Linked DNA regions of Drosophila melanogaster. The protein of the gene in region 1 purifies or fractionates together with the protein of each later gene. This does not show direct contact. Each region holds a gene or a part of one and is shown in the gene's direction. Other genes may lie near its edges.

Region 1 (3,754 bases):
TGCAATATTTTTTTGATATACCTAAACGAAACTAAAAACTATATATACAAGAGTAATTAGACGAAAACTGAACTAGTAACTAGTTATGAAGAAAGTTAATGGGTGGACTAATGTGTTAAGAATTTGAAATTACCTTTCTGTTGACTAATACCCTTTCACTATGTATACCCTCTGAACTATGTCCCTCTCTATAACACCCCTACTCTCTCTTGATTATGCTTAGGCTAACTAAATGATATGCTCACCTATATGAACCTATATATAAAGTGCTATACGCTAAATGCTTATTTCTGTATTCGTATCTGTATCTTCAGCCCGCATTCCTATTGAAGAGATAGCTTTGATATATCTTTGTAACATTAGCTAAAACATCTTTGTCTTTGATTTCTTCTACTTCTAAGCCGCATACTCATTTTGTTTATTCTTTTTAATCGTTCAAACTCTCCCTATAAAGCAAATCAATTTTAAAAACAAAAATTTGCTTTATCAGTCGGCACATCTTTGTCTTTGTAAATATCTTTTTACGGATAATCCATAAATTATATGTACATTTTCTACGCTAGTTATAGAACACGAATTTAATTTTCAGCTCAACACAAAATAAATAAATAAATCAACATTTTTTGTCAACAAAATATTTATGTAATTTTATACAAAATATACACGAACGTCTAAATTAAATCATCGTGTATTTACGTTTAGACACTAAATACAATACAATCCCAAAATTTGACATTATTTTTGTGTCTACTTTATATGAAGAAATTATTACATAATTCTATATGAAACAAAAAAAAATTTATAATATTTCTAAAATTCTTAAGATCAAATCAACAACATATTTTCTCTGTGTTTTTTGTGCTAAATTTTTTTTACTGGTACTTCTTAATTTAATAATGATGTAAAATAAAGAGGAAAACAATTAAAATATAAAATAAATGTGGAACATAACTATGGTTTTTCTTTTAACTTATAAAAGTGGTTGATAAAAAAAACTATTGAGTTTCAGTTTGACAACAAAGTAGTTCTGACTACACCTCTGCATTGCTGAATAGCTACATATATACATCCTGTGCGTTGCATAAACCTATAAAACTTTCAAATCAAATCGAGAAAATCTTGTAAATTGCAAATCGAGTGCTGAAATGTTACGTAAGCATCTAATAAATATCGAATTTCTGGTGCAAGCGGTTCGCGATTAGGCAATCATGGAATAAGAATCAGAATTATTAGTTTTCTGTGCTACCTTTGCAGAAAGTGAGGTCGTAGTGCTAGATTCGGAGCTGAATTCCAATTGAATTGATTTTGAAGATAAAATACGACAAAGGAATCAAAGGTAAGGGTCGTGGTTCACTATTGAATTCATACTAAAACTACTTTATATATGAAATATTTATTGAAATATGAGTTTGCATTAAAAAGCTAATGCCGTAGTGCTTTGGAAATTATTTGTGTGGATTAACAAAAGCTGAAATGACAGTTTGGAAGTTCTTTTATCACTTTCCATACTATAAGACAATTTAATTAGTAAAAGTTTACATTAAATTAAATGATTAAATATTAAAACAGTTTGTTTAGTTTTAACTTTAAATTATGTTTAACTTCTCTTATTATTTCAAATTATATTTCAGTTCGCCTCACGTTGCATGAAATGCACATATGATCTGTTAATGTAAGTTTATAGACATGAAGCAGTATAGATAGATCAAAAGATAGTTAGGGTATGTTGCACCACCTACCTAGTTTCAGTCTATGCCGACCTATAGTCAAAAACTCACCCCTGCCACAGACCTTGAACTTAAGTCGCGGACAAACAAAACCCGTTGAATCACCCCTGCGAGACCCCCGAGAGACCCTTATATCTGTAATCTCCAGACGGAATGCCAGAAACACGCGGAATATTGGACAACAAACAGAAAGGTTGAAAGAAAACTATATAGAAAAGCTATACTATCCGATCCGAGAGAGACCCTCTGAGCAGAGTGGCTCTGAGCGTGCTGATAGTTTGATAGAGCGATAGATAAAGACTCAACTCAGGTTCACGATCGGTGCAATTGAGTGATATGGCGGATTCTGAGTGTGGAGAGCATATTAAATAATAGCCGAGTGGCGGTGCTCAATCAGTCAGTCAGTCAGGTAGAGCTGGGAATGCTTGCACATATCGCGTATACGCCCCGGCCGGCAAAAGGCATTACAACAGACTTGTAGACCGACTGACTCTCCCGACCGATTCGGTTTCGTATCTTTGTATCGGTGAGAACGCTTCTGGGGACTCGCTGCTCACATTTCGATGCATTTCGCGGTTTTTCGTTTATCCACGGGCTTTTTGCGTTTGTAGTTTTTATTTTCGCCAGCTTAGAACTTGCAATTCTCGTGCATTTATTCAGTTTGAGTCCAGCAAGCGCAGCGTCAACGAGCGGATCTCTCTCTTTAATTTTCCGATTCGGGTTTTCGATTTATTCGCATTTTCTCCGGGTTTTTTTTTTGAGCGCGCAGTTATTGTTTTATATCGCAAGTACTTGGCCGATCTGAAGCAAAGTCAAGCCGTCTGCCGTTGATATTGTCTCTGCCTGTAACTCGATCGCATATTACACACTTTTCGCCTTTTCGGTTCTGTTTCGGATTTGAAGGGGAATAATATTTTTGTTTGTCTCCGTCTTTGCGCTTAATTAAATTGCAGCTTTCTTCCTTGTTTCTGCTGATATTGCCAAAAAAGTTTTTTGTTTTACCTTTTACCATAAAAGAAATTAAAGTGTTTTTGTTATTGGATATCGTTTTCTATATATTGGCGTATATATGTCACCAAGTGCAGAAGTATAAAAAAAAAAACGCGCAAAGCAGAACGGGAAAAGTTATTATGTAACTTTTAAAACACTCGTGCCATAAAAACAGGAACAAATGTGGAATAATTCTTGAAGAAACAAAGTGAAAGGCAGAGGAAAAAACAAAAGTGGATAAGCCGCCAAAGGCAATATATGGATAAAAATAAATAGTTTAAATAATAATGGGCGTTTTTAAAAAGCCAAATAAAAAAGTGTAGTTATATGTCAGTGATGTTGCAATAAAACACAAATACAAGTTTTCACAAGTTAAAAATTGATCTTAGTTAAATACTAAAGTAGTAAAGTTTTATTTAATTGAACAAGTGCATCCAAACTAATGTAGCTAAGATTCAATTTCGAAGTAAATTAACTACTTTACCTGCTAATTACCAAAGTTTTGCGCCAGATTCAAAAGATTAAATTACAAATCAGCTGCGGCAAAATTGTGAAGTGTGCAAAGCAAAAGTGGAGGAAAAAAATAAAAATAATAAAAGCAAAAGTGCATTAGGTAGAACATCCGCAGTGACAAAAATAACAGAAGAAAAATGCCGCGCCAAAAAAGATAAGGCAAACCCAAGGATGAGATACGAGCGAATACGAGTGAAGATACTTCTCGCTTAAAACAAAAGTGCATTCAACCAAAAAAAAATTGAAAACAAACTACCTGTGAGAGCGATTTTTCCACATACATATAATAAAAACTATAATTTTTTTAAAATGTCTTTAGATTTGGAAAGGTATTTTAATAATGTACTCTTTATTCGAATTTTGAATGGAGTTGTGTCGTTTGTTTACTCTAAAAGTTGGATTTCGTACCCAATATTAAAATAAATATAAAAATTAAAAAATATTTTTAGATATTGGTTTTAGTTTCATTCAGCAAGATTGATTGGATATTTTACGCAGTACACTATTTTCATTCCGGTGAATTC
Region 2 (3,754 bases), on another chromosome or scaffold:
GTCGCAGCATCAAAATCAAATTAGCAGCAGTTTGGTGGCTAATTCGAACGCACTTTATCATTTTCGGGCAGGCGTCTGTGACTTTGTGGCACGTGTGTGGCCGCGATAGATAAGAGCGAGCCCCAGCAAATGCCAGCAAACTCCGGCTAGCTTGGGCAAACACCACACACGTGGCCACAAAGGAGCTGCGTGTGGAGTGGGTGCCGGGTCAAATGGATTTTCACACCCACTCGACGTCGGCAAAGCCGCCAATTAATAGAATTCAATTATTCAAAGCCACCGCAGGCCGATGGGACGGCTGATAAGGCATAAAGACATCCTTGGGCACTTCGATCGGATTAGGATAATAAAAAATGCTCCGAAAAAAAAAGAAGTTGTGGGGTCCATAAAAATATGCTTTTATGAGGGGGTAGCTAAAATCATTTCCTATTTATCAGATGCCTCAACTTTTAACCCTTCAATTGCGAAGACTAAAAGCCAAATTCAATGCACAGAAATTGCAAGTAATAATCATTTGTAACTGCATAGCAGTAGTATCAGCATCGAACCGAACCACTCGACCGCTCGGAGTTCATCAACCCCTCGTGGAAAGACGGGGAATCCCCTGCTGGCAGGTATGTGTAACGCCACCTGTGGGCCACAGCGCGCAACAGCCAGCTGGGCGGAGGCGGAAAAGCCAGGGAAAATCAGCTGTCGCTATCATCCCACTCCGTACGTGTTTCAGCGCACGCCGCGCACACCTGCCCAGGTAGAGCTTCCACGGGACAAACGGGAAACAGAAGCCCCCAAAAGCTTGGCGCCACTTTCAACTTTTCATCCGTGCTAGAGAGCCGAGCTGCTAGACCGATGCACTGCGTTGACTGCGGACTGGCGCTCTGGTGCACTGCTGGCCGCACTTGGACGATGACCAGGTGGGTGGGTGAGTAATGCCGTTGCGAAATGCCAGTGCCAGTGCGAGTTCGCACAATTCATGGTGGGGCAGGGACGGGTCCGAGTGCAAAAAGCGTCCGAGAAAGCCGTAGGCAGTGAAAAGCCGCCGCTCACGTGGCGAACTGCGTGACTTGGCCAGCAAATCCGCCGCCCAGCCGGCTCCCCGGAAAACACCCCTCGGAAAACGTGCTGCCAGCCGCCCACCAGGCAGCCCCAAAAAGGCAGGGGATTCCATAGCTTTCCTTAACCTGCAGTTGGTGCGTGGGGCTTGGATTGACACTTGGCATCGGCAGTGCCATGTAACGTATCCCACAGCATAGATAAAAACCAAAAGAAACTAGTATTCAATAGAAGCTATGAAAAAGAAAGATATCCAACATTATAGCAATCTATAAATGGGGTTTCTTGCTATGGAAAAGGGAGTCTTTGGCATTCCAATTACTTGCTTTTGTTGTTCGCGCAAAAGCTTCGCCCAAGGGTTAATGTTTGGGTCCGAGTATCTCAGCCGACCAGCGATTTCCCGAGCGACTGCGATTCCCAGCGATTCTCAGCGACGGCGGAGAGCAGCGAGTGAGTGTGAGAAAATTCTGGGAATGCGAGTGCACGGGGGCTTATACACCGGAGCTTGCGATGCGAGCACTAGTGTTCGTGCGAATTTAGAGCCAGAAGGTCGACAACGCGTTCGTCGCACAGTAGAAAGTATTGCCATATACCAAATAAATCGCAACAACGACCTGTCGAATCACGCAAACAAACAGCTTCGTTTTTTTTTTTTTAATTTCGACCAGAAACAAACCGTTATTCTTTGGTGCCAGTGTTAGTGTCAAGTGTATCGAGCTGAGTGACATATAGCCACAGCCAAAAAGTGAGACCATAAGTGAGATTCCAAACAGAAGGCAGCAGCAGCCTAATCGCAGCCTAATCGCAAAAAAGTGCAGCTGGGTGAGAGCGAGAGCGAGTGTGTAAGTGCAATTGTCACGTTGTTGCAATAAAGCTGCAAAGAAAAATCTCAGCAAGAGGCGCTAGATAGACCATTATCATATTGCCAATACAAAACAACGCATTGGGCAGGCAGCTTACATAAATAACTCGGTTCATAACGTCCAATGGCGCACTTACACATATGTACATATAGTGTTTATTAATAAGTGCACGTTGCACACCGAGCAAAGCGTAAACAAAAGCCCACATCAAAATACCTGACCCTACCGAACAATGCTCCGGGAATGCCCCACCACTTCCTTCCTTGCAGTGCCAAACAAACATACTCTGGCCGCAGAATACGCATACGCAACGTGGTGCACCACTGCAGCCGCTTGCCTTCCGGTCACCTGGAGTGCAGTACTGCAGCACACTGCGCCTACGTGAAGTGAACTCATTCATATATGTAGCTACATAGCTCTAATCGATGCCCGGCATCCAATCTGGGTCAGAGCATATTGCGCATACGCAGCGTGTTCCCTTTTGGGCATTGCACCTTGGTATTTTCAGCTTATTTGCTGCACACACGCCACGTGGGCGCAGTAATTTCTGGCAAATTTGGAATGTCTATTAAAACCCCTACGATTTGGATAGCCGCAGTCGCAGTCGCGTTACACAAGCTAAACAGAGTACCACCATTAATAGCTCAACGTTCCCATTCGTGCCCCGAATTTTCCCACAGTCTTTCCCAGTATGTCTTGCCCCCGGGTTATGCGACTGTTATCCATGTCTGTCGCGCTTCCTGTGCTGCATTATCTAACATCCTCGGAATGACGCACGACCAATGTAATCCAGCAATCCAGAGGCATCGCGGCGGATTCGATTCGACCAGTTGGCCTTCTTGCTTTGCTGCGTCAAAGTTCACCCACATATGGGATGCGAACTGGGTTAACCAGCGAGTTACACAATCCTTGGTGGGTATAAACTGAAGGATTTGGGCAGATTGAGCAGTCGGTTGGAAGCCAGTTTGTTGGGCAAAAAAATGGTATTATCCAATGGAATTTTTCACCTTCTTTGGAATTCTTTCTTCTTGAATTCTGGGCCGTCGAAACAACTATCAGCTTGTTTACTTGGCCCATTTGGTTATCTTTGCTTTTAATGGAAACTCTGAAGAGCCTGGAATGGGGTCCACCCTAATGCCTGTGTGTCTGTGTAGTATTTTTGGGTTTAGTTGATTCAGCCAAATCGGAGAGAATGAACCTGGGTCTTATGCAATCGCTGAAACCGAACTCCTTGCCGAATTGAATGCTTGCTATATGCACCGATTACGACATAGTGGTGCATTGTGAGAAATATGAGTTCTTCGCTGCGTTCTTTTTTTGTAATTGCAAAATTGCTGAAAAGAATGTGTCTTCTACTGAGGTACAGGGTACATGGTTCTGAACTACACACTACACGTATCTAAGTATCTAAGTACGTATCTGCGAATCTGGAGCCGGGATGCATTGCGACTGCATAACGACATCCGTTGGCGGAGCGGCAGAGGCAACGCGAGAGCAAAAGCACATCGCACTGCACGTGAATGCAGCGTCGCGCCGTCTCGCTCTCGCTCCCGCTGCGCTGTTAATTAGCACAGTGAAGCCTCGTTGCAGGCAACCACCGTGTGGGCGACATTGTTCTCTATCTATCGTTCTGAGTCTGGGCCGGGCAGAGAGTATACGATTCAATCAATGGCCACCATGCAGGTGCAAGTCAAGGTGACAATTTCACAACAATGCTCCAGCCAATTAGGACTAGAAGTTATCCAAGCCATGATTCATGAACATGAATGGCAGGCAGTCGGAACACGTGCAACGCCTGGTTTCCCCCCCATCATCCATTCGCTTGGCCTAGAAGATCCTAG

What was found. Proteins that work in one complex are often made in the same cells at the same time.
Region 2: the proteins of Clk (region 1) and per purify together in Drosophila melanogaster (affinity purification with western blotting; 10 studies listed by BioGRID). This does not show direct contact.

The regions. Positions count from the first base shown.
Region 1 is NT_037436.4:7,773,995-7,777,748, reverse strand, and holds the start of Clk (clock), read left to right. Parts: upstream 1-2,145; 5' UTR 2,146-2,253; intron 2,254-3,754. UniProt on the Drosophila melanogaster protein: Circadian regulator that acts as a transcription factor and generates a rhythmic output with a period of about 24 hours. Oscillates in antiphase to the cycling observed for period (PER) and timeless (TIM).
Region 2 is NC_004354.4:2,684,009-2,687,762, forward strand, and holds the start of per (period), read left to right. Parts: upstream 1-1,571; 5' UTR 1,572-1,892; intron 1,893-3,754. UniProt on the Drosophila melanogaster protein: Essential for biological clock functions. Determines the period length of circadian and ultradian rhythms; an increase in PER dosage leads to shortened circadian rhythms and a decrease leads to lengthened circadian rhythms.